4 linked regions of the Tamandua tetradactyla genome follow. The protein of the gene in region 1 interacts with the protein of each later gene in a pairwise test. Links are inferred from orthologs where the notes say so. Each region holds a gene or a part of one and is shown in the gene's direction. Other genes may lie near its edges. The genes, in order: PITX1, ZBTB32, MAGED1 and SPAG8.

Evidence for each region.
Region 2: the proteins of PITX1 (region 1) and ZBTB32 interact in a two-hybrid assay, tested with the Homo sapiens proteins (2 studies listed by BioGRID). The link is inferred for Tamandua tetradactyla from reciprocal best matches to the Homo sapiens genes PITX1 and ZBTB32.
Region 3: the proteins of PITX1 (region 1) and MAGED1 interact in binary tests that used the Homo sapiens proteins (3 or more experiments, as listed by UniProt). The link is inferred for Tamandua tetradactyla from reciprocal best matches to the Homo sapiens genes PITX1 and MAGED1.
Region 4: the proteins of PITX1 (region 1) and SPAG8 interact in binary tests that used the Homo sapiens proteins (3 or more experiments, as listed by UniProt). The link is inferred for Tamandua tetradactyla from reciprocal best matches to the Homo sapiens genes PITX1 and SPAG8.

What each region holds. Positions count from the first base shown.
Region 1 is NC_135346.1:14,175,157-14,183,129, reverse strand, and holds the start of PITX1 (pituitary homeobox 1), read left to right. Parts: upstream 1-4,971; 5' UTR 4,972-4,998; coding exon 4,999-5,167; intron 5,168-7,406; coding exon 7,407-7,639; intron 7,640-7,973. UniProt on the Homo sapiens protein: Sequence-specific transcription factor that binds gene promoters and activates their transcription. May play a role in the development of anterior structures, and in particular, the brain and facies and in specifying the identity or structure of hindlimb.
Region 2 is NC_135342.1:30,268,536-30,276,207, reverse strand, and holds ZBTB32 (zinc finger and BTB domain-containing protein 32), read left to right. Parts: upstream 1-4,765; 5' UTR 4,766-4,777; coding exon 4,778-5,649; intron 5,650-5,922; coding exon 5,923-5,996; intron 5,997-6,095; coding exon 6,096-6,164; intron 6,165-6,285; coding exon 6,286-6,450; intron 6,451-6,621; coding exon 6,622-6,896; 3' UTR 6,897-7,158; downstream 7,159-7,672. UniProt on the Homo sapiens protein: DNA-binding protein that binds to the to a 5'-TGTACAGTGT-3' core sequence. May function as a transcriptional transactivator and transcriptional repressor. Probably exerts its repressor effect by preventing GATA3 from binding to DNA.
Region 3 is NC_135353.1:118,152,759-118,160,014, reverse strand, and holds the start of MAGED1 (melanoma-associated antigen D1), read left to right. Parts: upstream 1-4,251; 5' UTR 4,252-4,329; intron 4,330-7,256. UniProt on the Homo sapiens protein: Involved in the apoptotic response after nerve growth factor (NGF) binding in neuronal cells. Inhibits cell cycle progression, and facilitates NGFR-mediated apoptosis. May act as a regulator of the function of DLX family members.
Region 4 is NC_135328.1:59,954,146-59,961,909, forward strand, and holds the start of SPAG8 (sperm-associated antigen 8), read left to right. Parts: upstream 1-4,757; 5' UTR 4,758-5,415; coding exon 5,416-5,453; intron 5,454-5,555; coding exon 5,556-6,408; intron 6,409-6,526; coding exon 6,527-6,701; intron 6,702-6,904; coding exon 6,905-6,950; intron 6,951-7,032; coding exon 7,033-7,147; intron 7,148-7,267; coding exon 7,268-7,330; intron 7,331-7,468; coding exon 7,469-7,591; 3' UTR 7,592-7,764. Other genes in the region: adenosine 5'-monophosphoramidase HINT2, read left to right, coding at 2,126-2,206, 3,450-3,590, 3,727-3,831, 3,954-4,026, 4,144-4,235. UniProt on the Homo sapiens protein: Microtubule inner protein (MIP) part of the dynein-decorated doublet microtubules (DMTs) in cilia axoneme, which is required for motile cilia beating.

The sequences.
Region 1 (7,973 bases):
GGCTTCGTTCGTTCGTTCGTTCGTTCGTTCCGGCAGCAATGCCGCACAAAAGCAGCAGACATCGGCCGGAGCCCCGGCTCCCTTCGCCGCCGACCCCGATGTCCCACCGCAGCGCTCGGAGGCGCCCCTGGCCCAGGAAGGCCTGGCCCACGCCCAGAGCTACTCTCGCCCGCCCGCGTCGGGCTTTTCCTTCCCCTACGAGAAACCCTAGTTGCTCTTCGCAAAGTCCAATAAAGACATTCCCGTGGCTCTTCCCGGGTCTGCTTGTTGACGCAGGGTTCCCGAACACACAACCGCTTCTTTAGAGCCGGGTCTCCGAGTTGATACTGACGGGCCTGGAAAACTGCAGCCGACTCTGCCGTGGCAAAGCATGGGCCCCAAGACTGGGATCGCAGAAACGAGAACCTAGGTTGGAGTCCTAATTCCAGGTTTTCCGATTTAGGAATTCCCTGAATCTAAAAATTTTCTGAGTACACTTTTCTGAAAAACTAAGGCCCAGGTATTCTCAGTTCTCCGGATCGTGGCCTCTGACAGCTGCCAGCGCCAGAGCAAGGAAACCGGGTTGCTGTCCACTTGGCCGAGGATGCAGTTATAGGGTATTGGCCAGATGTAGGGCAATGGCAAAGACCACAGGTAGCAGAACAGCAGAGAAAGGGGACTTGCTGTCACCCTGTCCTGCCCCAGGCTGAGACTCTTCATCTTTGGAAAAGAACTGGGCTGGGCATGGACACCAGGCTGCCTGGAGTCTAGGATATAAAGGTGGCATTTGTTGACCTGAGTCAGGCGGAGTGTCTTTTTCCCAGAAAAGCAGCTGTTGGATAGAGGACCTGTGATGCAGCATATATGCTCACCGGTTACGGGAGTGCCCACAGCCACTTTCGTGGCCCTCTCTTCCCCTTGGCTCCGCCACTCTCAGGAACCAGACAGCATCTGGTGGACGCCAGTGAACAATGGACCAGGAAAGCAATGGGCCCTACCAGCCACTGACCCAGCAGCCCACAACCCAGTTCCCTGCTCCCACTGGCACCCAAGGGCTGCGGGTCCTGCCTGAAAACGTCCCAGCCCTCCCCACCTGGGCAAAATGGGGGGGGGGGCGATTGTCAGGAAGACTCGGCCCTTAAAGAATCCACAGAGATCATTTTCAGCCCTACCTGAATACCCCTCCCCGACCTCTCCCCAGTAATTGCTTATGCTCAAAGAAATAAGAGTTTTCATTGGGGAGGGGCTGTTAGGTCAGTCAGAAGGAGGTAGGTGGTCTCGGTGGCACTCCCGAAACTACTTTTTCTCGTTTGAACTTCTCCAAGCCGAAGAGGCTTAGGGACTGGAATGTCCCAGAGAGTCGTGAGTGGCCCTGGGGGCAGGCTATGGTGCATTCCTTCGCTTTTCCTAAAACTTCTTGATGGGGGGGCAAGGATTAGGAGGGCTACCCCATGGGTAGGTGGTAGAATGCCCCTAGGAAGGCCCTCTGACCACCATTCTCACATTAGATTACTGCACCAGTCTTGGGCAGTCTGTTTTGAGGGAGCCAGGACTCACGAAGGATCCCCGTGGTGACTGTTTCGGTCACTTGGCAGTCCAGCCTCCTCTGCTCAGTCCAGCCAGGACCCAAATTTCCTGAAAGTCACAGAATTATTGCTGGCTCTGCGTGGCCTGAGAGGGATGCAGAAGAGGGCACAAGGTGCCAATTCAGTAAGCTCTCTTCCCTCCCCATGTCCCATTCTCCAGGAACCTGGAGGCTGCAGCAGCAGGCAGGGATTGCTGTGTCCCATGTCGGTCATGGGAACTGCAGCACAGTGCTGGTCAAACCTCGCCCAAAGTCACACAGGGGAAACTGAACCTCTGCTCTTACTCCAGAAAGACTGCTATCCTGTATGTGTGTGCGTCTGTGTGTGTATGTGTGGCACCTATGTGTACAAGAAGCCCCCATCCTGATTGGGACAGTGGCCAGTCGGAAAGCATGGCTGGGAGAGAGCAGTGAGAGACAGCATTGAATACCCAGGTTCCTTCTCGAGCCATGCCTGGGATCAGCCACAGCCCCGTCTCTCAATTACTTCCTCTCCCCTGCTAATTCAGTACTGCCCAAATTCAGCAGAATGACTCTCCTGGCCTGTCCCCACTAACCTGAGCCCCTTCTGGGTTTCAAGGCCCCTGGGACCCTGAGCTTCACTGGCAAGGGTGTGAGGACCTTTCCATTCACACAGCAGGCATCAAGTGTTTCAAATAAAGGGGCTGTTGTGGCTGCCTGGAACACTGCCAGAGGCCTGGATCCAGATGGGCACACAGCAGGTGCTCAATAACTGCATTAAATGCATAAACATAAGGGATGCAAGCCCCCCTCAGACCACATAGCTGAAGCTGCAGTCACAGAACAGTACCCACCCACCCCCAATCCATGGACTCTTTTGGCCCTCTGGGAAGTAGGGGACTTGTGACCTTCGAAGCCTCAGGATGCCCACAGGCAGGCTGTCCTTTTCCATGGCTCCACCCAGTGGTGTACCATGCTTCCCACCTTGGCCTGACACTTGGCGGGCTGAGAACACACCTCCTACCCCAGACCAGCCAGCTTTCGTGCCAAACAGCCTGGGTGCCCCGGGACCCAGAGGCCTGGCAGTGTGCACATTGTGCCTGTGAGCCTGGACTCAACACTCCCACATGTGGACGCAGTATGTGTGTGTTGGGTGTACATGGCACACCTGTGTGAGTGTGCACTCTCTAAGGGTGTCTGTATCCAGACCGGCTGGGTGGCACACTGCTGGGGTAAGCAGCTCCAGGGAAGATAGTATGTGAAGGGGCAGCATGTTGCACCACCTGAAAGCTGCTGCCAAAGTTTCAGCCAAGAAATGTGGTAAAGGGGGCTGAGGGTAAACGTCCTTCCCTCATAACCAAGACTAATTAATTTCCTCTCAGGGGCCTCTGAACTTAAAAGAAACTTCCTTTGGGGAGGAAAGGGCGGGAGTCAAGTCATTGAGTCTCCCCATCCCAAATTTAGGAGGCATCCTCTCTCTAGCCTCCGTCTCAGAATGACTGTGGGCCCTCTCCCCATGGCCCAAAGCAGGGGGCCTTGGGCCGAAGCTGAAAGAGTGGGAGGCAGGTCTGGTTGTACCCTGCACTTGGCCCTGCCCAGCAATCCACACCAAGGAGCTCAACCTGGGGCCTGCGTGTTGCCTCAAATGAGGGGCAGGGTGAGAACTCGACATCAGTGCCTGCAGAGCACCCCAACATTGACAGCCTGCGGTATTCTGTCCCAAGCAGAGACCCTGAGGAACAGATAAGGATGCGCTGGGCCTGGAGAGTAGGGAAGGGCTTCTCCCCATAGGCTGCCTCCCAGTGTTGCTCCCTGGGTTGCTGTTTCTGGTGGAGCAGATCAGGTGAGGGGGAAAGAGCAGCCTGGGAGTCCAGCTGTGGCCAGGAGCAGGTCAGGGCAGCACCCTACCGCCACAGCTGTCGCTTGTTTATTCAAGACGCTGAGGTCTCAGGGCCAGTTAACAATTGTTAAGCAAAATCCCTTGACAAAGTTCACTGAAGCGGGAGGACTCAGGGAGGGGACCACCCGTGGGGGTGGGGAGGGTACCTTTGCCTGTGCGCAGCAAGGCCCCACTGGTGCTGCAGCTTAGTTCCCACTGTGTTGGGGAGAAGCTCCGAAGATGGAAGGCCTCGACTGCCAGCCTGGGGTTGGGAGACCAAAGTCATCTGCCCCACCAGGCCTGTGCCTCCAGACCTAAGAAGCTCGAGCATGGCCCCCCACCCCCTCCCTGGGGCAACACTGCCCTGCAGGGGGCAGAACAGACCCCCGTGGCTGCCATGGCCCAGGCCTGGACGGTTTGAAGAGGCCGCTGAAGGTGCAAAGCAGAAGAGGCTGCGGGGGATCTTGGGGTCTCCCGCTGCACTCGCCAGCGGTCTGGAGCCAACAGAAACGTTTTGTCTGATTAGAAGCCATCATTTCTGTCCCAATCCTGGAAAACTGCGATACAGAGGAGGAGGCCTGAGAAGCAGCCTTGGGGGAGAGGGTCCAGGCTAATTAGGAGGCAACATCCGGGGGCCCATTAGAGCGCAGGCTGCTGTCACTCAGCCGGGTTTAGGTCCCAGGAGAAGAGGCAGGGGGAGGAGAGGCCGGCGGCCCTCGATGAGGACCCCGCTGGGAGCTGCGGGAGGGGGCCCCGGGCTCTGCCCCGGCTCTGGGCGCTGGCTCGGAGGCGCCCGCTCGGTGCGATCCTGCTCGGCGAATATTCACTAATCCTGGGACTGTTCTCGCCGGGGACTAGGGACTTCGAGGCGGCCCAGACAGGAGTTGATTCTAAGTGAAACAAGTCATTTGGGAACTGAGGTGGGCACGAGCCGCGCGGGACTTGCAGGCCAGATGCGTTTCTTTTGTGCGGCGGAGGGAGAACTCGGTGTGTCACCGGGGAAGGAGGGAGAGGCACAGCGAGGCCGCGGGGGGCGGGAAGGCGGCGGGAAGGTGGCTGCCGAGGGGGAGGGTGCGGGCGAGGCAGGGAGGGAGGGAGGGCGGCAGAGAGGGCGCGGCGGCGAGGGCGGCTCGGGGCTGGATTCCGCCCGCGCTCCTTCGCTCGCTCGCTCCCTCCCTCCCCAGCCCCCTCCCACCCCGGCCCACCCCACCCACCACCCCTGGCGCAGGGACTGCTGGAACCTGGCGGTGCGCTCTGTCGCTTTAAGACAGACTCTGCCGGCGCCGTCCCGACCCTTAGAAACCGGCCCCGGATCGGGAGCCGGGGCCGGGCAGGCAGCTGAGGCCGAGCTGCACGAGCGCTGCGCGGAGCGCGGGGCCTGGCGCCCGGGCGCGAGAAACCGCCGCCGCAGTCGCCGCCGCCGCCGCCCGCCTGGCCCCGCAGTCCATGGGGCGGGCGCGGCGTCGCTGTGGGCGCGGGCAGCCCCCGGGAGCAGCCGCTTAGGCGCTGAGCTCTTGTCCCCGCAGGTCGCAGCCAGGGCGGCCGGGCGCGCCCAGCCCCGGCGCCTGGAGCGCCCGCCGCGGTCCCCGCCTCTATGGACGCCTTCAAAGGGGGCATGAGCCTGGAGCGGCTGCCGGAGGGGCTCCGGCCACCGCCGCCGCCGCCGCACGACTTGGGGCCCGCCTTCCACCTGGCCCGCGCCGCCGATCCCCGCGAGCCGCTCGAGAACTCCGCCAGCGAGTCGTCCGACACGGAGCTGCCAGGTAAGCGCGGCTCCCCTCGCGGCGCGTACGGAGCCTTCCCAGGCTCAGGGTGCGGGGAACCGGGAACCAGGCCTGGCGCCCGCGCGGCGCTATCAGGACCCCTTCCGCCCCCAAAACTTTGCTTTTCCTGTCCTTGACCTGACGATAAACGCGGAAATTTACACCACCACCACCCCCAAAATTAAACACACCCAAAGGCATTTCTACGATGTCCCCACGCACCAAGAGACCGGCAGACACACGGACCTGCGAGTTGAGAGCAGGACTGACATCCCCTCTAGATCAGGGACAAATAGAACGAAGAAAAAGTTGGTTTCGCGCAACTGGGAACTGAGGGTGCGCTCGCGCGGAGGGAGAGGGGCACATGTAGAAGAAAGGGTGGACGTCGGACGAATAAGTGTCCAGAAAGCTGAGAGGGGGACAGTCAACTGTACATACGGTGGGTGACAGATCGAGGGGGCGAGTCGAGAGAAAACGGGGGTTGACGGGGGGCAGTGTCAAATAAAAGGAAGCCAGAGAGGCAGCGAGGGACAGCGGGCCAAGAGGCCCGCTTGGGCTCCGGGCAGGGCCGGTCGGGACCCTGATCGAGAGATTCGGCTTCCACGTGCGCCGCCGGAGCCGAGAACCGCCAGGCAGCTCAGCCAGGGCTCCGACGCGACTCAGTCACGTCTCTCCGGGCGCTGCCTTTAGGTCCGAGATCGGATTTTTCCCCAGCCAAGAGTGGAGCGGGCCGGTGGGCGTCGCGGGCAAGCGGCACGACTAGTGCCGGGCGGGTCCAGGCTGCCTGGGGCTCTCGCGCCTCCCGCCCTAAATCGGCGCTGCGGTCGAGCTCCTAGTTCCCTGGGCCAGGGGCGCCTCTTCCTGTGTTCATTTCTTAATCCAACACTGAGTGTTTCTCTCCACATTTTTAATCTCTATTTGTTTCTGTTTTGCATCCCTAAGTGACTTTCACTGAGGGGTTTTGTTCGCTTGGTTAAAAAACATCGGACTGTGCTTTTGCTTTTAAAGTTTTAAGCGTGGTCTTTGTTTTTTATTTTTAAAATACATAGTTATAGATTGATTTTTAAAACTAAGTCTATGAGTTGAATTGGCAATTTTAACCTTTTTAATTTAAAAGATTTAATATATTAGATGAATTTCTCTGGAATTTAAAATATCTATTTGAAGCATAATCTGGGAGATTTTTTAAAAGTCAATCCAAAATGGCGAATTTCTCTGAGATTGTCTCAAAACCCATTTTCAGCGGTGTTATTTTGGAGATTTAAATTCTCTAACTATAATGTATGTCTCTTCAATTTAAAAATAATCTCTTCGAATAAACTAATCATTGGAAGGGGGTTAAAAATCTATCTACAACAGTACACTGATTTTTTTTTTAATCCTAGAGAAATAAATGCCTGTGTTCTGCCTGCAGTTTATACACAAACAGGACTGTATTTATTTAGGGGTGTGTTTGCTCCGAGGTTTCACGCCTATTAACCTCCATTTACTCTGTGTTCCTACCTGCCTATTTTTGAGCATTTGTGACCATTTCTGTGTTTTTAGGTATAGAGCTGTGAACTTTTCTGGGCTTCCTGGTTTGTTCTTAAATTATTTTCCTATATGTTTCAATGTTTCTATGACTGCCTGTGTTTTGTGTAGTTTTAATGAGGGGAAAAGAGAAAGAGCCAGTTTACGGGTCACCTAGACAGGGTGGGCTGCAGCGGTTGGGGTTTTCTAAGCCTTGGGACTCGAGGCGGAGAGCTGAGGCCGAGAGCCCGGGGCCTGACCTAGGCCTCCGGCACAGCTCTGGGGAGAGGAAAGCAGAGGGCTGCAGGCCACTGCCTGGCTTTTGTCCCCCAAACACCACTGGCTTTAGGCTGGAAAGATCCTGGCTCAGAAAAGCAGAGACCCCTTAGATTTAGACCTCAAGAATCCACAAAAAAAATTATTTTTAAAAAAGCGCACTTACCGGTGACATCCGCAGCAGCCCCAGAGGCTGAGCCTGAGAGCGGGCTGCAAGGGCAGGCCCTGCGAGAACCCAGGCCCGCGGCTCTGGCTCCTGGTCTTTTCTCCTGGGCACTCCAGACCAAAGGTTCCTACTGACTTGACAACCAGGGACCCGGGGGGCTCTTTCCAATGCCAGGGCCCCTGGCGGGAGGGAGAGCAAGCGCTGACGGCCGGCGCTTCGGCGGAGCCGGGACCGGGTGCCAAAGGGCGTAAGCCCGAGGTGACCGGCTCCCCGTCCCGCCTGCCGCAGAGAAGGAGCGCGGCGGGGAACCCAAAGGGCCGGAGGACAGCGGCGCGGGCGGCGCGGGCTGCGGCGGCGCCGAGGACCCCACCAAAAAGAAGAAGCAGCGGCGGCAACGCACGCACTTCACAAGCCAGCAGCTGCAGGAGCTAGAGGCCACGTTCCAGAGGAACCGGTACCCGGACATGAGCATGCGAGAGGAGATCGCGGTGTGGACCAACCTCACGGAGCCGCGCGTGCGGGTGAGCGCCGGCTGCCTCTGCCGCAGCCCTGGAAAGCCTAGACCCGCGCGCGCAGACTTTCACCCTCTACCCACCCCTCAGACTTCTCCTTCCCTCCGCCGGAGAAGGAACCCCACCCTAGGTTCCGGGTCACCCAGCGGCTGCTAATCCTCCTAACCCCTGATGCCCCTCCAGGCGCCCCAGCCTCCTCTCACCCACATCCTACCGGACCCTCAGCTCTACCACCATCCGGGCCTAAAGACCAGTGGCCCCAGTGGGCTCTCCGAGGCTTGGAGGGCCCAGAGACCACACGGATGTTAGTGGGATACTCTGGGCCCAAGATTCTGGTCAGATG
Region 2 (7,672 bases), on another chromosome or scaffold:
TGTATGTCCAAGTTCAGTCTATATACCACCCCCACCCCATCTCGAGTTAGGGCCTAGAGTATGCACAGCAGTAGCATTATCTACTCTCATGAGCACAGACCTGGGGTTGAGGCCCATGCAGGCCCTGGAAAGGCTCAGAGCTATCTGAGCCAGGAAGTCCAGAATTCTAGGCTCTCAGAGCATGGTCTAGAAGGAAGGGGATGTGGGCTCCAGGTAGGTACTTCCTACCAACCCTTGGACTTTACAGCCCATGGAGAGGAACACAGTCAGAGGAGGCTGGAGTGGAGGGCTCTTCCCTATTTAGGACCATACTGGTATTCAATATTGATCTTGAAAATAGCTCCTTTGAGGAAGCTGAGGGTCTTCATAGAGTCCCATATTAGGGCAAAATAAGTCTGTCCTTTCTGAAAATGTAGTGGAGCCTGTTTTCTGACTTCCAGTCTAGTTCTCTTACTAATTATTCCATAAAAAGTTATACTATTATAGGGTCTATCTGTGATTTTCACATAATGTAGAACATAAGTTTAAGGGATGAAAGGAACGAATTCACCCTGTCATATCTATTATCTGGTATACGCTGGATGTACTTAACTAAGAAGAGTAAACATCTTGAAAATTCATGTAAAATTTGGTCTTAATCTGTATAAAATGTTGTAGAGGGTTTAGCCACCTTAATTTTCCTGAAAAGATGTATTCCTGGGAAGAGTGGCAAATTCACAGAATTTTTCAAAGCTGAATCTTGTTTAACTTGACCTGGAAATGGGAGAGAGCTCAATATTTAAAATAAGTGAAGGGTGAACAATTTTCATAAAACAAATCATTATCCCTGTAACAGACTTATTCTGATGGCTTCATTTCAATTATAAAGAGAATTATGTTTTGCATTGCTGTGCCAATTTTTTTTCATTTCTTTCTTTAATCATGGTAACATGTAGGTAAGTTAAAATTTTCCACTTTAACTATTTTTAAGTGCACAATTTTTATATCAAACTGGATTGTGCCTGAAGGGGGTTATGAGGCCAGGATCTCTGGGCAGTTTTTTATTTAGTTCCGCAGACATGGTGTGCAATAAGCCCCTCACACATTTTCCCCCCTTATTGTCCCTTTGGTCAAGCCTATTAGTGAGAATTTAAAATTATCAAATTTCAAACATCATTTAGTAATATGAGTATCGAAAGCACTGAGAGGCAGAAATCATACCTCCTTTTATCACATAACTCCTTTTCTTACCTTTCTACCCACTCTACCTTCTCTCAGGATGCAGGCTTATGCCCTCTTGGCCTGTGGTTTCCTGGCTCCACTCAAAGGGGATAATTATAGGCAATATCTGCTGAGGCAGCCTGCGAAGTAGAAAGTGGGCAGGGTTCCTGAGGTCGGGAGCAGAGATCTTTCAATAACAGTCAGCACTGTCTGTATCCTTTTAAGTCAAGGAGCTATTTGTTTCTGTTGTCACTGCTCAGTGCTGGATGGCTTGGGCTGCGCTGTCAGCAATGTTGGGAGAGACTAGAGAAGGGCCTAGAGCATCATTGATTCTAAGGGTCGAGGTACAGAGAGCTCTAGAGATACCTCAGAGGAGCTGTCTCTAAGGGGATATCCTTAGGTAGGGTAGACACCAAGCGAGAGGCAAGATGGGGTTTCCCATTCTTGGGGACTTTTGCTCCCTAAATGGGGAGTCCCCTTGCCCCTTCTCCATTTTAGGCTCCCTTAAAGTCCATGATACTCTTGTCAAGACCCACATTTGGCTTACAGAGGTCGCTGCCCTCTGAACAGTCTCCAGATCTCTTGATCATTAAGAGATGATCCACACTGGTGACAGGAGCTGAGTTGCAGGCATGCAATATAGCGATGGGAGGTGAGGGGAACCATAATCTACTGGGTGATGATGTGCTCTCCCAGACCCCTAACCTTTTCCTTGACACTCGGGCATCCTTCTCATGGCTTTCCTAATTTATTTCATATCTTTAAGGATCATGTGTTTCTGTGTTGGAAGAAGGATTCTCTCCATGTACATTCAAATCAGGGATTGATTATCCCTTTGTGTGTCCGGGCTATGTGTCTTTTATGTGGGTGTTTGATGAGTCCCTAGGTGTGGTGATGTGAAGAGTTAGAAAGCTCAGAAATGGAAAATATTTAACGTTCAGAGTAGTAGTAGATGAATACAAGTTGCCCATTTGCATTTTTCCTTTCACTTTGACTCATCTTCCCCTCTCTGCACCCCATTGCCCCTCCACCAGCCCCACCCATTGGCACACCCTGTATGATCTAGGATGTGTTAACACCTACCTGCACCCAAACTTGGATGAGAGTTAGAGGGAAGGCATGTTAGGCATAGAAGGAGAGAACAGCAGGTTAACCTGAACATTTTAGGGTCTGGGAGCCCAAGGGAGAATAGGAACTTAGAGACACAAAATTTGAGTCTTGCAGAGGACCGGGATCTCAATGGGAGGCCAAGGAGCCAGACTGTCTTTTTTGTCAGCAAGGCAGCCTACCAGTGCCTGACATTCTTGTTTAACTTTCAGTTATTTTGTGAACATATATGATATGCCAGGTATACACTGTAAATTATTTATCAACATTTGTTGAATGAAAATTTTACTACTGGAGCAGGAATAGAATAAAAAGAAACAGAAAAACAAATGTGAGTCTCTCAGACCTCATCCCTTCCCCAGATTAAAGAGTACTAACGTGTGAAAAGAGCGGAAATCTCTGGGGACTTTGACCATTGGGCAGGAAGTGAAAGAAACCCTGAGACCTGATTTCAGAGAAATGTCATTTGTCATCAGCCCAAGAAAGTGAATTTTTCTTTTCAAAGACCACCACAGACCTTTCCTGGGGTTGCCCCCTCCAGAGTATGATGGGAGGATTTGAGTTACTCACATACCTTATTCTGATGGCCCAGAGTACAGGGGTCTTTCCCAAAGAGCAAGTGATACCTCTTAGTACCAAGTCAGGGAAAGGGAGGAGGCATGCCTTTGGCCCTTCTTCTCCTTCTCCTTGGAATGCAGATGTTTCAGTCTTTTTTACTTCTGAAGTAGAAGCAGAAACAGCTTCCAACTACTATGACTCTACTATCCCCTCTAAGAAACAGAACTAATACTATTTGAATGATGTTATGAACTTAGAAACCATTTTCACATACATCATGTCATTTCATCTTCACCCCATCTTCAAATGAGGTAAGAGAGAGTATACCTATTTCATGGATGAGGTAACTGAGGCTGAGAAAGAAGACTTGCCCAAGGTGATTTGACCAGTAAATGGTAGAGATGTGATTCAAGTGCAGGCCAGATTATCCAAAAGTCCCTGTTGCCCCAGATACATTTCTTTGACCCTAGGAGTTCACAAATGAAATAAGGAGACAGGTCAAGGGGCAAAATGTCTAGGTTCTGCAAATAGAAGAGGTAACTCTTCTTGGAGAAGTGAAGCAGAGTCAGGGGTATAAAAGCCACACCCCTTTGGGGGACTGTGGCTGACTGTTATTTGGGGCATCCAATGGAGGACTCTGAGGTCAGGGGCGGAGCTAGTTCCATCAGGCCCCCAGGAGTCCAAACAGTGTTCAGAGCATGCGGTGTCCAGGGAGGAAGCTACAACCGGTGAGTGGTTGCTTCTCCCCAGCTGAGGCTTTCCTCCCAATATATCCACCACCACCCCCAACTCCCTGGCAACCTGCAACCCTCAACCTAAATTGTCCAAGTAGTAGTTCTCCCTCCCACAAGGGTCCTTGTTCATGGTGAGCCCACCCCTCAGAATATGGCTGCTGGGAACCTGCACCTTGTTTTAGATTATTTCCCTTTGTAACTGGGTTCCCAGTTTTCTTCTTGAAAGCCAGTGTGGTGGATCTGATGTATGGTAAACTCCTGCCCTGCTGGGTTCTTTCAATTCTCTATTTTTCACTCATGAAAAACAAAATTAAACCATCTCCCTAACCTAATCTTGAGAGAAAATAGCCTCCTCCTCTATAGTTCCCATTTCCCTTTCTTCCACTTCCTCAGGAGTCAAAGCCTTCTCCAAAACCTCGCCATCCTTGGATTAGGAACCTTCTCTTCTGTGGTTTTTGTACCACCTACTCTCTTAATTCACTGGACAGTAATCTTTGGTCTCTTCCAGTTCCTTCTCTGAGGATGCATTCTAGAAGCTTCAGCCTCAGGGGAATGCCTGAGCCTGCTCTCCTGCAGCCATGACCCCTTTCTTGCTGCTCTCCATCTCTCAGGAGACTGAGCTCCACTTGATGGGCTCATGGGGGGGGGGGGGGGGTGGTAGGACAGAGTTTAGGTAGCTTTCTAAACTCTGCCCGTGAAGCTGTGTCTTGTGCCATCCCTAAATGCCAGGGCTGGCTGAGTTTGGTGGTGCTCTCTTTGTCTGGAATGAGGAAAGTCTGGCCTGCTCAAAGGTCTTGCTCTTCAGAGGGGCTTAAAGAAGTGGAAATATCAGAGTCTGCTATTTTTTAAGTCAAATTGCAAACTGGTAGTTCCCACCTATATTAAACTCACTACTTGGTGGTGTTTTTGTTAACTACCTGGTCCTTGCTTTTTAAGTCTTGAATTTGGTCTGATTTCCATCCCTATGCCCCATCCCTGTTATGATTCTGGATAAACTTAGCTCTCTCTTGGGCTAGTTTATTTGCCCCATTTCAGATCATAGAGCTGATCCTGGACTCTTTCTCCCCTCACCTTCACAGGCTTAAGAATATGCCGTTCCTCCCTCCCCTTTCCACCAAGGACCCTACACTGTGACCTTCCTCTCAGAACCTCTGAGATTGGTACCCAGATAAGGCACAATGCCCCTGAGCCCCACAAGACTGCTCAGTCCTTACAACTCTGACCGGCTGGTACAGCTGGCAGCCAGGCTCTGGCCAGCACTATGTGATGCCCTAATCACTGTGGGTAGTCAGGAGTTCCCTGCCCACAGCCTGGTGCTAGCAGGTGTGAGCCAGCAGCTGGGCCGCAGGGGCCAGTGGTCTCTGGTGGAAGGCATTAGCCCTTCCACCTTTGCCCAGCTTCTGCAGTTTGTTTATGGGGAGAGTGTAGAGCTTCAGCCTGGGGAGCTAGGGCCCCTTGAGGAGGCAGCCAGGACTTTGGGAGTACAGGCTCTGGAAGAGGCATGCAGCAGGGCTCAAAAGGACAGGGCTAAAGAGGAGTGGGATCCAGGGCCGAAGAAACACCAGGAGGAGTCAGAGGAACCTTTAAAGGATTTTGAGAGAGGACTGGGAGGCTTTAGAGAGAAGCAGAGACCAGAGAAGTTTTTCAGAGCTGGTGGGAAAGAACAAGAGATGTTGCATGAGTCCAAGCCACCAAGAGAGAGCCCCAACATAGCAGGGGCAATATGGGAGGGACAGGGGGTACAGATGAAATCAAAGGAGGAGAAACTCAACCAATCCCTGGTTGGTCAAGGGGGGAGAGATGGGAAGCCAGAAGTGGTCATGTGGGTGAGAGAGAGTCAAGGGGACTCTGAGGCAAGTCTTCGGGGACTAACAAGTCCCCTCCAAGCCAGCATCATCCCCAGGCCCTGGTGGGCTGAGGGCCCCTGCTTGGGGAAGGATCAGCCTGCCCTGTGGAGCATCCTGCTATGGCCGTCCAGATATGGCACTCCCTTCTCTCATAGCACCCCCTTCAATGGAGCCTGGCAGGAGGTCTGGCCTTGGAACCAGAGGTAAGTGAAAGGCCTAGTGTAAGACCTCCCAGGCTGGGAGGGAATGGCCCAGTAGTGGTGATGGGCGCAAGGGCACCATATCTCTTTATTTCTACTGTACATTTCCTAAGCTGGGGATAGTACAGGAAGCTCCCACCACAGGGGAAGCCAGAGCCCAGCCCCTGAAGAAGACTTAGGACACACCTCCCCAGACAAGGACAGGTTTGGTTAGGCCCCTATGCTTTGCCAAAGCTGTAACTCTGCCCCCCGCCCTGCCCCCGGCACCCTCCTCAGGACCCCACTGTCCCTGAACCCCCACAAAGGACTCTGGAGCCAGAACCTGTTGGCTTCTTCCAGCTCCACCCCAGGTAAGCTCCTTGCTGCCCTATAATGTGATCCTTCCTCTGGGGCAGGGGCTCCAGGAGTCCAGCCTGAGTAGGGCCCCTACTTCATTCTGTTCCCTCCAGGTTCCTTCCCCCAGTATCCCACACAGCTCAACCCTGGGGAGATGGAAGCGTCTGATCAGGGGGACACAGGTGAGTAGGGTGAAGGTGCTTTTGCTTTCCCACTGTGGCCCTAATATCTTGCCTGGGTGTTTCAGTGACCCGGTTCTGGGATGCCTATCCTTGCCCTCCTTTGACTCTTCTGTGCCCACAGGCCCTCTAGAAACCCACATGGGTCAGGACAGGAGAGCAGGCTACTCATCTCACCAACACTCTCCCCCAACCCCTCCTGCTCGGGAAAGGCCCTATTCTTGTTCTGTCTGTGGAAAGAGGTTTTCACTCAAGCATCAGATGGAGACGCACTACCGAGTCCATACAGGTATGGGCTCCTGCCCAGTGTCTTCCCAACTCCAGTCTGTGCGCTCCTGCATCCCTCTTTGCGTGCCCAGCTCGCGTGCACCCACTGGCTGGCCCCATCGCCTGATGTACCCCTAGCTCAGCAGGCTTTGCCTTCTTTCCTTCACTTGGCCTCCCCTTCTGTCCGCCCTAGGCGAGAAACCCTTCTCTTGTGGCCTCTGTCCCCAGCGCTCCCGGGACTTCTCGGCCATGACCAAGCACCTGCGTACGCACGGGGCTGCGCCCTACCGCTGCCCTCTGTGCCGGGCGGGCTGCCCCCGCCTGGCCTCGATGCAGGCACACATGCGCGGCCACTCGCCCAGCCAGCTCCCGCCGGGATGGACCATTCGCTCCACCTACCTCTACTCCTCCTCTAGGCCGTCCCGGGCCTCGACTTCTTCCTGTAGCCCCCCTCCCTCCACCACCTGAAGGGACTGTAGGGAGCTTCTTTGGCCGACGGCCGCCCGCCGCCTGACCCGGCTACTAGCAAATTCGGCTCCATACGCGCAGCAGAAAAGGTGAGGAGAGCCTTCCCAAGGACGACCGTGGGCCGCAGAAGCCTGGGCCGGCAAGTCCGAGTGGGATGAGGGCAGTTAAGTTTGCATGAGTGAAGATCAACTGTACGGGGCCTGATGACCGCATCATCATAATAAAGAGTTTCCTGTGCTCTCCACTCAGGACAAAAAGTCGAGTCCAAACTAATCTGTGCGCCGGGTCTCACGGGTCTTGAAACTTGTCCTATAGCGGCCCCTGGTGGCCATGCGCCCACTATCCCGCCCGGGAGCCAGCCGCTACCTCCAACTCTCGAGACACTCCGTTCTCCCCTGGAAGCAGCGGGTGTCGAGAGCTCGGTGTCAGAGCTGACATCGCAGCAGGTACTGAGCGGTTTGTGAGACACCAAATCACTCGCCCCTTTTACAGCAAGCAAGCCACAGAATTAGCGTGCAGCGCCTGTTTAGGCGCGCCCGGCCCGAGGCTCCAGCCGAACGCGGGCTCCGCCCTGCTTTTGGCCAGCCGACTTCTTTCCCTCAGCCTCTCCCCTCCGCGCTGTACCGACCGGCCTCCGCGGTCACTCCAGGAACTGAAACTAACCCTTTGCCCCTGCCCCTTCCCAAGCCCACGCCTCCCGGTGACGCGAACTCCATTTCCCAGAGTCTCCGAGGTCCCTAGGGCCGAAGTCTGCTGTGCCTTGGGAATAGTAGTCC
Region 3 (7,256 bases), on another chromosome or scaffold:
AGAAATAGAAAAACCAATAAGCAAATTTATCTGGAAGGGCAGGGTGCCCCGAATTGCTAAAAACATCTTAAGGAAAAAAAACGAAGCTGGAGGTCTTGCACTGCCTGACTTTAAGGCATATTATGAAGCCACAGTGGTCAAAACAGCATGGTATTGGCATAAAGATAGATATATCGACCAATGGAATCGAATAGAGTGCTCAGATATAGACCCTCTCATCTATGGACATTTGATCTTTGATAAGGCAGTCAAGCCAACTCACCTGGGACAGAACAGTCTCTTCAATAAATGGTGCCTAGAGAACTGGATATCCATATGCAAAAGAATGAAAGAAGACCCATATCTCACACCCTACACAAAAGTTAACTCAAAATGGATCAAAGATCTAAACATTAGGTCTAAGACCATAGAACAGTTAGAGGAAAATGTAGGGAGATATCTTATGAATCTTACAATTGGAGGCGGTTTTATGGACCTTACACCTAAAGCAAGAGCACTGAAGAAGGAAATAAATAAATGGGAGCTCCTCAAAATTAAACACTTTTGTGCATCAAAGAACTTCATCAAGAAAGTAGAAAGACAGCCTACACAATGGGAATCAATATTTGGAAACGACATATCAGATAAAGGTCTAGTATCCAGAATTTATACTGAGATTGTTCAACTCAAAACAAAAAGATAGCCAACCCAATTACAAAATGGGAAAAAGACTTGAATAGACACTTCTCAGAGGAGGAAATACAAATGGCCAAAAGACACATGAAGAGATGCTCAGTGTCCCTGGCCATTAGAGAAATGCAAATCAAAACCACAATGAGATATCATCTCACACCCACCAGAATGGCCATTATCAACAAAACAGAAAATGACAAGTGCTGGAGAGGATGCGGTGAAAGAGGCACACTTATCCACTGTTGGTGGGAATGTCAAATGGTGCAACCACTGTGAAATGCAGTTTGGCGGTTCCTCAAAAAGCTGAATATAGAACTGCCATACGACCCAGCAATACCATTGCTGGGAATCTACTCAAAGGAATTAAGGGCAAAAACTCAAACAGACATTTGCACACCAATGTTTATAGCAGCGTTATTTACAATTGCAAAGAGATGGAAACAGCCAAAATGTCCATCAACAGACGAGTGGCTAAACAAACTGTGGTATATACATACGATGGAATATTATGCAGCTTTAAGGCAGGATAAACTTATGAAGCATGTAATAACATGGATGGACCTAGAGAACATTATGCTGAGTGAATCTAGCCAAAAACTAAAAGAAAAATACTGTATGGTCCCAATGATGTGAATCGACACTCAAGAATAAACTTGGAAGATGTCATTGGTAACAGAGTTCAGCAGGAGTTAGAAACAGGGGAAGATAATGGGTAATTGGAGCTGATGGAATACAGACTGTGCAATAGGACTAGATACAAAAACTCAAAAATGGACAGCACAATAATACCTAATTGTAAAGTATTCATGTTAAAATACTGAATGAAGCTGCATCCGAGCTATAGGTTTTTGTTTTGTTTTGTTTTGTTCTTATTATTATTACTTTTATTTTTTTCTCTATATTAACATTCTATATCTTTTTCTGTTATATTGCTAGTTCTTCTAAACCGATGCAAATGTACTAAGAAACGATGATCATGCATCTATGTGATGATGTTAAGAATTACTGATTGCATATGTAGAATGGTATGATTTCTTAAAAAAAAAAATGGTCAGCACAATACTGCCTAATTGTAATGTAATTATGTTGGAACGCTGAATGAAGCTGCATCTGAGCTATAGTTTTTTTTTTGTTTCTTTTTTCTCTTATATATTTTTGTACTTTTTATTTTTATTTGTGTTTTCTCTCTGTGTTAGCACTTTATTTCTTTTTCTGTTGTCGTGCTATTTCTTTCTCTAAATCGATGCATATGTACTGAGAAATGATGACCATACACCTATGTGATGATATTAAGAATTACTGATTGCATATGTAGAATGGATTGATTTCTAATGTTGTGTTAGTTAATTTTTTAATTAATAAAAAATAAAATAAATAAAATAAAATAAAAGAATAACCTCCAGTATAAACTCTCAACTCTACTTGAAATCTCTCAGCCATGGACACTTTATTTTGTCTCATTTCTCTATTCCTCCTTTTGGCCAAGAAGCCTTTCTCAATCCCTTGATGCTGGGTCCCTGCTTATCCCAGGATTTCTGTCCCACATAGCCAGGGAGATTTACACCCCTGGGAGTCATGTCCCACACAGGGGGAAGGACAGTGATTTCCCCTGCCAAGCTGGCTTAGAGACAGGGGCCACATCTAAGCAAGAAAAGAGGTTCTCTAGGGGTGACACTTAGGCCTAATTTTAAGTAGGCTTAGCCTATCCTTTGCAGAATATGTTTCCTAAGGGCAAACCCCAAGATCGAAGGCTGGACCTATTGGTTTGCCTGTCCCCACTGCTTGTGAGAATATCAGAAATTCTCCAAATGGGGAAGGTGAATATTTCCTCTTTTCTCCCCAGTCCCCTAAGGGGACTTTGCAAATACTTTTTTATTCACTGCCCCAAATACTCTGGGATATATTGGGGCACCACATTAACCTGAACAAACCAAGAAAATGTCATGCTCTATTCAAGATTTCATGTACTTATTGTGTCCAACTAAACTTACCATACAAGTTAAATTAGGAAATGCACTACCCAAAATAAAAATTTTGCACCCAATAACGTTTTCTCTCTTTAGTCTTAGACAGAAATTGAAGTTATAAAATATGGATGATATCATCCTTTCCCCTGCATTTTGATATACCTTAATCCTATCCAAATCAGTTTCATTCATATCTCTATTCGAAGTCTGATCCCTTTTTCAACTTTATAAACAGTTCCTGCATGGGGTGGTGCTGACTTTCATAGCTTCAGAGCTCTAACTCTGAGTCTCATGAATACACGCTTTTTTTGCTTAAAATCCTTCTTTGGCTTCTTGTTTTCCTGATAGTTAAGTCCAAACTCCATAACATGGTAAACAAGATTCATGCCTCTATGGCCTCTTTTCATATCTGCAGCCATGCTGGTCACCATTGTTCTTTTTACAGTGTGCTTTATCTCCGCTGCCATTCCCCTTTCATTTATTCAATATTCGACCATTCTTTATTGTGCACTCTGTAGGAGATAAAGTCTCTTTTGGGCGTCCAAAATTCATGAGTCAATAGACATAGTTCCTGCATTGTCTCCTCTTTATTAAGTTTTATTGTCACATTGCAGTCCTGGTATTTATTTGTTTCTCTCCCCCATTGGGTGTAGAGTCTTGGAATCCAGGAATGTGTTATTCTTCTTTGTACAGGCAGTAACAGTCACAGAACCTTGCACTGAGTAGATGCTCAAAACCTGTTGGTTGAATGAGAAAATGTGAGCGAAATTTTTGAAAGGAATTATACAAATATCAGCAAAAACAAGAATCTTGTGCTGTCCCTGACTTTGCCCTGAATACATTATGATCACTTATTCATACCAAACTGTGAGCTCCTAGTAGAATGCCTTTAGGTACTGTATGGTGTTGGAGATATGGTAGGCGGTTAGTATACACTTGTGGACTAATGAAAAATGACCACACAAAAATGGAGAATTGGTGTGCAAATTTGGGGCTTGGGAGAGCTTTCTGTAGGTAGTGGCAATAAATAATTCTGTAAGTCTTTGAAACAGAATAAGGGTTATTCTTATTACTCAAATATTTTTGTCAGTTGTCATTTTCTTCCTCTTTTTGCAGAGTAATCAGGATGAATGCTTTCTAAACAAGTTTACCATTACTCATTTGGAAATTTATATACATCATGTAAGACAAAAATGATTCAAATTTAAGCTTACAAAATCTTGAAATCAAAGTATATCTCTAATAAAAATGAACTTTTATTCCAAATAGTATGCCATGAAACAAAAGAGTATAAGTATCTAACTGTAGACATAGGAGAAAAAGATAATGAGTCCTGGATTAAGGGCGTAAGGGGGAAAGGAGATATATCTAAGGCAGAATCAACAAGGTGAGGTGACATTGCATATTCGGGGTTAGGCAGAGATAAAGAATTTCTGGGTTTCTTGGATAACTAGGGAAGGGTTTTTAAAATGTTACTGATTCTCTGGTCAATTCGGTTTACATAACTATCCAAGGTTCTGATCTGGTGAGAAAGCCTATGAGCTAAAGCATATATTGCAGAACTTGCTACGAGAGACACAGGAAGTTGCTTGGAATGAAGGAGGCGGGGAAGAGGCTGCAGAAGGTAAAGCTTCCGCCAAACAAAAAGAGTGCTTCCGGTCACGCTGTCGTCGCCGCTTTCTTCGTTAAGGTGAGTGTAAAGAAGGGGACTGATAAATCTCACAAATGAAACCCAGTAGACCCTTGGAAGCTTCCTTCCTTGCCTCCACGTGGTGTGGAAATAAGCGGAATTCATTTTCCAGAATACACTGAGTGAAGAAAGCTTGTGGCGCCTCCGGTTATGATCGCCGCGCTGCTCCCTTCCCCCACCCGCCCCAGTCGCGCTTCAGGAATGGCAGGCTCTCATCCCCCCTCCTGACTGCGGTGCGCCTTTTATTCTTGTGATCCCCGTTCGTGTTCTTTCACCTCTCTTCTTATCCCGGATCCTCTTCTGGATCTTTCTGATCCTGAGTCATTCCCTCTCCCACAGATCTCTTTCCTACCTCCCACCGCCATCTTCCACGCCACCCCCTTTCTGCCTCAGACCTTTTGCAACCCCTGTCCCCTACTCTGAGCGTCATTCTTCCTTCGGACCTCAGTGTTTTACTCCCTCTGCTGGCTCCTTATCTTTCTTCTCTTCCTCTTGCCGAGGTCAGCGAATAACATATTTTCCATAATCAAGCTTGACCTCTTCAGAGTCAAGGCTGTTTTTTTAGTTCTTTAAAAAAAATAAGCAAGGAAGCAGAAATATCAGCGTCCTAAGAGACATAAAGAATTGTTCAAATTATTATGTCCTTTTATTTTTTTACTCTAAACATTATTACACAACAATTGTTGCCTTCTGCTCGTGGCATTTTTATCACATGATGGCATAAAATTGAATCCCCCAATTTTTTTTGTGTGGGCAAATACAGAGGATTTTGCGTGTCACAGTTTGGAGGTGGAAGTTTTCCCATCTCCTTTAGTACTTCTCTTAGAGAAGTGGCTGACAGGAATGACATCTAATCATAAATATATTCCCTCATGTAAGTTGGGTTTATTAAGCAAATCCTTTTCTGGTCTCTGGTAGCAATATTGAATAGCAAGTTGGCAGATTTTTTAGACAAAGATTTCCCCCAGGAGTTTGCAAGTGTTATTTGTTTGCAATGTGATTTATTTGTTGCGATGTGAACTTTATCTTTTTCTAAAAAATTTGCTGTAATGTGAAATGTGTCTTTCTGTTCCGTTTGTCATCATGTGAAATTTATCTTGTGAGAATGTTAATAATTACAATTTTTTGTTTCAATTCTTTACCCAAGAGTGGGGAACGGATCGTTAAATTTATCTTCATAAAGAATTTTCAGCTTTGAAGAGATATTTAACCAAAGATCTTGAAAACCAAGTTACTCCTTCCTCTTCTTCCTGCTGTAATTAGTGGGTGTTATGCTTGCCAAAATAAGTTGTGATTCTCTTTTCTAGTCTAGATCTAATTTTCAGTTTTTAGAATATACGAGGCAGAGATTTCATGGAACCAAAACTCTTAGAAACTTTTTCAAAGGATAATGTTGTTGGCCTATCTTTATTCTCTATTCAGATCTTTATTACTTAGCGTTTAGATGTCACCATACTGGTTTTAACCCATTTTGCAACCATCCATTTAGTCATGCAATAATTTTTTTATTGAATACTTTTATGAGCCAGTATTCGAAGCTCTGAGAATACAGCAGTGAAAAACATAAACAAAGTCTTTTAAGTAAATTTATATGTAATAAATATATGATAGATTATGATGGGAGTGGGTTGTACTGTTTATGTAGGATGGTCAGGAAGACTTCCCTGGTAAGGTGACATTTCAACAGAGACCTGAAGAAAGTGAGGGCACAAATTATTCAGATATTACTGGGAAACAGAATATATCTGTGTCAGGGGCTCTGCTTTTGTTTTTCACTCTGCCTTCTACATTTCTCCCTCTCCCACACCCTATCATAGAGCCCTTCTGCAGAGTCATAGTGGAACCTTCTTTATACTTGAATAACTGGATCCGTCCTCATAATTTTCCCATATTCCTTTTTTTTTATTGGCCACCAGCATGTCTCCATCTGCACCTCATTCCCATTCTCTTTGTGATGCATTGTGTGTGATCCTATAGCACATTTGCTTACTCTCCTACTGATTTTTATCACTCCATGTTCATAAAATATTGCCCATAAATGTTTGACATGGTAATTGAAAGGAATTCAGTGTCTGTTCTCCCGATGCTTTTAAATATAGTTTTTCCCTTAATATTCAAAGTCATCCTCTAAGTTCAGTATCATTGTCTTTTAACTAATGATAAAAATAAGACTCAGAGGGGTATGGTAACTTGATAAATGGTGGCAAAAGAATTCATCTAGTTAGGGTCTGTCAGACTCTCAGTCCTGGGCAAATTCTCTCTCCCTCTCTCTCCCTCTCTCTGTTTATTGTTGAGCAATAGGAAATATGCAGAATATTTTATTTTATTATTCTATGAAACACAGTCAGTCTGGGTATAGGCGTTTCATTTTTTATATTAGTTTCTTTTCACAAGTCAGAATATATCAGGTGCTCACAGTACTCCTTACTTACAGATATTAAGTGCTGAGAGACATGATGAGTATTTTTAGCTCAGTATTTTTTTTTCAAGGAGAGAAAGAGTTTATTGCTAGGCATGTAGTAGGAGAGCAGATGGCCTAGCAGCCCAAAATCTGTCTCTAGGTTAATATTTTTTATTGAAAATTTCAGTCAAGCAGAAGTTGAAAGAAGGGTACAGTGGACACTGTTATACTCTAACCCAGATTCAACAATTTTAAACTTGCTATATTAGCTTCCTCTATCTGTCATCTTCCTGTCTTCACCTGTCCATCCATCCATCCATCCAATTATCCAACCATCTATTTTTTATTTATCTGGTTTAGTGAACCACTTGAAAATTGTAGGTGTTATTTTTAAGTAAACTTAAAGTTCATAGAGAAAGATGCACATATCATAAGTGTACACCTCAAAACATTTTCACAAAGAGAACACAACTGTGTAACCACTATGAAGATCAACAATTTGTATCTGGAAAGCCCTTCTTGTACC
Region 4 (7,764 bases), on another chromosome or scaffold:
AATCAGTGTGTCACAAGATCATCACATAGTTTATTCATCACCATGATCATTTTAGAACATTTGCAATCACTCTAGAAAAATCAAAAGAAAAAATACATCCCATACCCCTTACCCTTTACTCTCATTGATCACCAGTACTTCAATCTACCCAATTTTTTAACCCTTTATCCCCCCAACGATTTATTTCTTTTCCTTATTTTTTTACTCCTCTGTCCATATCCTGGATAAAAGGAGCATCAGACACAAGGTTTTCGCAATCACATGATCACATGGTAAAATCTATATAGTTATACAGTCGTCTTCAAGAATCCAGGCTACTGGAACACACCCAACTCTTCTTATCACCTGCCCTTCTTTGCAGCAACACTAGAGGTTCCTGCTGTCCTGGGGACACCACAGAGAACTGAAACCTCTGGGACACAGACAAGAGGGCAGTGTACATTTCCTCACAGTTAGGGAGGCCATCTATCCTTCCAAGGAAAGGAATGACTCTGGACTGCTAGAACCCCTGGGGGAAATCGCAGGGTCAATCGTCTGTGTCTAGGAAGAGAAAGGACTTTCTACAATAATATACCTATTCAAAAACAGATTGTACTATCTGCAGAAGTAAAGAGCTCCTCCTCATTGGTCATATGTAATTAGCACCATGATAAATATTCAACTAAAATTATTTCAGTTAATAACAGGATGATAAACTATGATAAACTTATGAAAGGAAGTTATGCAGTCATTACAAGTCCATTTACACAGCCTATGTAATAATATGGAAAACATTATAAGAGGAAGACTAAGGAAACTATGCAATACATATCTTCATATGTGTTGTATATTATGAAAGGAAATTCTGGGAAAACAAATGTTGATCATTTTGTGTGCTATGTGCACCTGATGGTATCAGGTGCACAAGTCGTGACTTGTCCTGTTTAACATCATACTACAACTGATGTGGTTGGTGTCTGAGTATATTAGCATTTTAAGACATTGTTTCTTATGTCAAAAATATATTTCAGTAGAGTGAAATATGCTTCTGACCTATCTGTCCATGACACAATTCCCTCGTGGTCCGAACCTTACTCATTGGTTAGGCAGGCATCGAGCTAACCGTATTACATACTTTCTCCGATTGGGAAAGAACATTGGATACATACTCCTTTGTTCATTGGTAGTGTCGGAAGGATAAGACATCCCGTCCTCCGTAAAACAAACACGCCTCTGAAAACAATATGCAGAATCCTTAGTCTATGGATTGAATGTGCTGAGAACATGACAGTAAGATGGAGTTGTCATTAATCAGTTAAAATGCTCAAGAAGCTGAAATTCCCCTTTGTGAAAAGTGTTCGCTATTTGACAAATAGGACTCTTAGACATGGACTCCTCGAGTCAGGGGGGAGAAAGAAAGGACCCGACCCCGGTGCGCCTTTAGCTCCACCTCTCCTGCGTCCTCGACCCGCCGCTTTTTTTCCTCGACCCCCACGGCTTTGGGCGTCAGGGGTTAGCGGTGGTTCCCCCGAGTCAGTAAACGCCGAGACCCCCCGCCCTCCTACCGGCCAATGAGGTGAAAGGGTCTAAAACATTTTGGAGCCTTCCTGCAGCAGGTGACCGAGCCCCGCACTCTGCCTTCCCCGGGTTGGATGCGGGAGCTGCAACCAAAGCGGTGCCAGTATTACATATCGCATGCAATTGGAAGAGAATCCCCCTCTAAGTCTCTTTTTTTTTTTTAATCTAAGTCTCTTAGTTCTTCCAATGGAGTGAAAAATTATCTCATAGCAAATCTAGCTAGGGAATTCGTTGGAAAAAGAACTTTCACCCTGAAGGCGAAGCCAATGGAGCGGAGAAATCACCCCCGAGTTGGCAGAAGCCGCCGGGAAGGGACGAACCCGCCTCCAAAGCGGCGGCCAGCCCGCGCCGCTGCCCCGGCCTCCCCCTGCGCCCGCCCTGCGCCGGTCCTGCCTGGCAGCGCCACCCAATGAGCCGGCGGGGCCGTGCCGCTCGCGGAGCCAATGGCCGCTGCTCGCCAGCTCCCCGGTCAACCCCAGTCAGCCCGCGGCGCGGAGAACGCCACCTCCCACCCGCTGCAGAGCCCAAGTGCGGGCCTGCGTGAGAGCGGCCCGCCGCCGAGGCGAAGATGGCGGCGGCGATGGTGCTCTCCGCTGGGGTGCGCGTGGCGAGCAGGGCCCTGGTTGTCGCGGGGTCGCGGGGGGCGCAGGTGAGAAGTGGCCGCGGGGAGGGTGTCCTGCGGGCTCTGACGCTCTCCCTGACCGGGGTCCACAGTCGTCCTCGGCTCCCAAACGTGCGCACGGCCTCGCTGGGGCCGGAGCTCCTTACGCTGGCCGCTGCCTCTGGGCTGCGAGGGGAGGTCGGGCTGGTGGCCGCGGCAGTTTCCGCGGAACCCTCACCCCAGGCGAAGCGAACGGGAGATGACGGACATCCTGCGCAGACCTGGGCGCCGAGCTCTGGACAGGGTCGCTGCAGCGGCTGTTGCGTTCTCCGCCTGCCTGGAGCCCAGCTGAGCAGACGCCTGCTCTGGGAAGTCTCCTCGGTGCCTCCTGCAGGAAATGAGCTTTGACTTCTTGGAGCCAGGCTTTTTACCCCGTCTGACTCCTTCCCTTCTAGTAAGCACTAGAGTTAACCTCTCGTCTTCCCCCTTGAGCAACTCAAGGGGTCAGAGAGTTTAATTCAAGCCGTCCCTTCAACACCCACAAGATGAGTTGGCTGCATTCAGCCTTCTTCGCGCCCCCGGATGACTGGAAGTTCCCTGCCCCACAATCCTATGGGCCGGGAGAATCGAGTTCACATAATCGAACTTTTCTTTCTACTGGCTCAGGGACTGGATTCACAATCCACATGAAGAGGTCAGGTGTGACACCCAGATGAGGGATAAACTTGTGTCAAACAAGGCCGTTGCATTAAAACCTGAATGAAACAGGTGACAAGGCTTAAAGATCAGAAAAAACAAGTAAGGAAATGGAGGAAACTTATTAACAAGATGAGAGTAAATGAAAAGCACTCCAAGTAGTCCTAAGAGATGGTGAAGAAAGATGAAAGAAATGCAAATCCTTTATTTTACGTGTGAAGCCCAGAGAAAAGAAGGGGTTTATCAGAGGTAATTCAAGGGTAAAATAGGAAATATGACTAAGTCACTAAGTTCTCATTCTGGATGGTTTCCCTTGAACGGTGCTAGATCCCCTAGGTAGATTAAAAGCAGAAATCAATTATACTGAGTTGTAATATTGTAAAATTGTAATAATTTTCTGACGGGGCCCAATACCATCTGGCTCTACCCTCTGCTGCTACTGCTACTGCTGCTGCTGCTCTAAAATTCAGGATCTTTTCCTCCTTAGAAGAATGGAGTTAATGACTATCAGAACTCAGCTTCTGCTACCTATGTAATACTACATAGGAGTTGTATTATCAAATTCCTTCCTTGGGTCTGTCTGACCCACCTTCAGGTCCGAGGAGCTGCAGGTGTGACTGATGAGAATGAAGTGGCCAAGGCCCAGCAGGCAGCTCCTGGGGGTGCAGCCCCAACCATCTTCTCCCGGATCCTGGACCGAAGTCTCCCAGCTGACATTCTATATGAGGACCAGCAGGTGGGGTGCCCTTAGGATCCAGCCTCCCCAGGAATTTCATAAGCAACCCCTCAAAGTTACCGTCCTGCCTGTTGGAAGGAATGTGGTGGCCTCTGGCCAGTTACTGCCAATGATATGTCCTTCCTCCTATCCCCAGTGTCTTGTGTTCCGAGATGTGGCCCCTCAGGCTCCTGTGCACTTCCTGGTCATTCCTAAGAAACCCATTCCTCGGATTAGCCAGGCTGAAGAGGAGGACCAGCAGGTGGGAAGAATAGGGGCAGGGTTTGGCTGGGATGGGGGGTGAGAGTTGGGGTGGGGAGCTGGACTCAGATAGAGCTTTTGCTTCCTGTGAATGATGACACCTGCTTCCCTCCCTTCGTATAGCTGCTAGGACACCTACTCCTTGTGGCCAAGAAGACAGCAAAAGCTGAGGGCCTGGGGGATGGTTACCGACTGGGTGAGTGACTTTTGGTCCTTGAAACCCTCACTTCTGAGTTGAACCTACCCCTTATGTGATCTTCAGTCCTTGGCCTTTTCCACGATCGTGACCCCCTAACTCCAAGCTCCATTTCAGTGATCAACGATGGGAAGCTGGGCGCACAATCTGTGTATCACCTGCATATTCATGTACTTGGGGGCCGACAGCTCCGGTGGCCTCCAGGTTGAACTAACCAATTGACCAAGAACCCCAAGCCTGGATGCTTGAGTGGGGAGGAGGAAAACGGGCCTTGTGCTGCTAATAAACCTTGTCTTATCCAACGATGAATCCCTGTCTTAAATATGTAGAGATTTATACCACAAGAAGGAAAGAAAACCAATTCAGGGCTATGATCCCCTTTGAGTAAGAGACAGTAAGGAAGCTTAGCTTGTGTATAGAGTGTGCCTACAGATCTGAGTTCTGAGTTCTTATGACTAGTAGTATACCCTGATTCAAGCTTCTGGAATAGCAGTAGGAATTAGGATGAAGTGAGCAGGGAGAGACTGGATCCCAGGAGTAAGACTTACTCAATCCTGGCCCTCATTCAGAGGCCAAGTCAGGTTCTAAAGGAAGCTGGGGGTTAAGGGGAAGAAAGTGTCAATGTGAGGGAGTTTTGCCTTTTATTGGAGGTGAAGCAATCACACCAAAAAAAAAAAAAAAAAAAAAACCTGCTACCCTTTGACTACTACACGCCTCGCACCGTTTTGCATTTACACTATCATCTGTATTTTAATCTTTAAAAATTTTGAAAACACTCCCCTCACTTTCATTTTTTGTATGCTCTATGGCAGGGGTCACATATCATTCTTTTTCCATATGCGTATCCCCTTATTGCAGGACCATTTGCAAATTTTTGTTTCGTTGGTTTTTGTCTGTTTGCTTGTTTGTTTTTGTTTGGGGAAGTGCATGGGCGGGGAATGGAACCCGGGTCTCCCACAGGGCAGGCGAGAATTCTACCACTGAAGTACCCCGCACCCCCTTCCCCTCACTTTTGAGAATGAAGGAAGGGGAAGTTACTGTTGTCCCAACACAAACACACCAAGTAGACTTTTGCCTTTGATTCCACAGCTCTGTACTTGTCTCTAACAAAACCCGTAAAGAACCACTCTTAGAAAGTCATAAAAAACCATGCTTGGGTTTGGAGACCGAACCATAAGCCGGAGGAACCTGAAAAACCCGGCGGAATCTTGAAACTCTGGCTGAGGCGGAATGGAGACTGGAGGGGAACGCGGACCACACCAGGTTTAACTTCCGCCCCGCAGAGGACTTGCCTCCACCCCCACCCTCCACATCCGCCCAGCTCCCGTCTGCGCAGTCTCCCGGAATTATTTGTCGTCTCTATGGCAACCTGGCAGCTGGTGTCTGACGATGGAGACCAACCCGTCTAGCGAGGAAACGGAGTCGCGGTGAGAGCTGCAGCTTTGGCTGCAGGCACGAGGGTTCAAGGAAGGTCTGCTGACTTCCTCCGCTGTGCTTTTGACAATCTTGACAGCTTCGCTTTTTTTCAGGTCTTTAGATGTACAGCACAGCTCCGGAGGCCTGGGGTCCACTTCGGAACCGTTTCCTTCTTCAGATGGCGGTGCTAGGTCTGCCCTGACAGCCGCAACCGTAGCAGCTGCAGCGGCTGCATCAGTGGCATCAGCTGCTGCAGCCGCCTCCACCGCCAAAGCAGCTGCACTATCTGCAAAGACACCAGGGCCCTACTCGCAGCACAGCCTTCTCACCCAGCTCTCCTCTGACCTCAGTCTTCCTGGGGAACCCTCCACTGAATCCAGCTTTACCCAAAGAATAGGCTGCGAGAGCCAAGGCTTTGAGCCCGTCTATGTTTCCTGTATTACTCAGGACCCTTGTACCACAACTGACCTTACCTCTAGCTCTATCCCTATTCCTGGCTCTAGCTCTGTCCCTGTTCCTGGCTCTAGCTCAGGCCCTGTTCCTGGCTCTAGCTCCAGTCCTGTACCTGATTTTAGTTCTGGCCCTGTTCCTGGCTCTAGCTCTGGTCCTGTTCCTGCCTCTAGCTCTAGTCCTGGCCGTAGCTCTGGCCCTGGCTATGGCTTGGGTCCTGACTCTGGCCCTAATCCTGTCCCTGACTCTGGACCTTGTCCAGGATCTGGCCCTGAGCTCAGCTCCTACACTGTTCCAAGGAACAGAAGGCTCGGGGCAGATCTGGTCCCTGATTATGCCACTCGGAGTTACCATGGCAACTGGGGTCCTCAGAAACCACCAAGCTGGAAATTTTTGCAAGTTCCAGAACCTGGTGCCCGAGGGCTATGGAAGCCCCCAGAGGTTGAAAGGAAATCTAAAGTGCTCCACGAAGCATTGCCCCGGGGCCAGTGCCTACTCTACAACTGGGAGGAGGAGGTATTAAGGTTTTGGCCTGTTCCCTTTTCTTGATGCTGCTCCCAATTTCCTGGGGAAGGTTCATGATGAGGGTGTGTACCAGAAGGGACAACATGGTCACTCAACTTGTGGCCCACAGAGAGCCACCAACCACCTGGATCGAGTCCCCAGCATGCAGGATGGCTCTGAGAGTTTCTTCTTCAGACATGGACACCGGGGATTGCTGACCCTACAGCCACAATCACCCATGCCATCCAGCACCACCCAGAAAGATTCATACCAGTCCCCAGGAAACCTCTACCAGCCACTTCGAGGTGTGAAGCATGAGTAAGGGAACAGAATGAGTCCATTAGTCAGAGAAAAAAGAGAGGAAGGAACTTCTGGTGGGACTGTGGATTGTTCAGTGGGCATAAGGGCAGAAAAACAAGATTTTCCTTCCTTTATCTCAAGTTTGTTTCTTCTTAGCCTACTTCTTAACCAGAATCACCCACTCTGTTCACTCCCTGTCCTTCCACAGGAAAACGTGAAGCCAGGTTGGAGATGCTCCTGCACCACCAGATCTGGTGAGGCTTGGTGAAGGGGAAGGAGGAGGGGGGAGACAAAAATTTGGGGGAAATGGCCTTGACTCTCCCTAGGGCTATACAGTGAGGAGGTGCAGGCAGAACAAGAACCCAAAAAGAAGCTTTTTGAGGTTGAATCAGTGACACACCATGACTACCGAATGGAGTTGGTGCAAGCAGGGCCTCCTGCCCCCATAAAGGTGAGAACCCATTTCACCTCACGTGCACAGCTAGGTTCTGATGAGGTGTGGGAAAGCAGAGGCCCAGAGGTTAAGAGAGGGGCTGCAGGTGAAGAATAATCCAGTCTCTCTCCCTCACAGCCTCATGACTACCATTGGGAACAGCCTGAAACCTTCTGGATACAGAGGGCACCACAGCTCCCGGTATGTGAGGGTGACTAGGCATTGGAGGTGGGAGAGAAGGAGAAGGGGAAGAGGCTATTCTGTCTCACTTGTGGCAAGTGGGGGGCTGCAGAGCAGGGACAGTATCTGTCCTCATTCCTCATTCTGGCACTCCTCTAGGGGGTCAGTAATATCAAGACACTGGACACACCATTCCGGAGGAACTGCAGCTTCACAACACCAGTCCCCTTATCCCTGGGACAGCCTTTGCCCTATGAACCCGAGAATCCCCATCAATTGTGAGAAATATTGTCCATGGCCTGTCAAGGGAGGAGGGCAGGGTGGTAGAAGCGGGAGAACTACTCCTGTCTAAAGGTTGGGAAAGGGTGGTGATGTGGAATGTGGGATCTGTTTCTATATGGGGAAGAAGGTAATTCTATCTGTACTTCGTGAGGAGACTTTACATAAGAGATTAT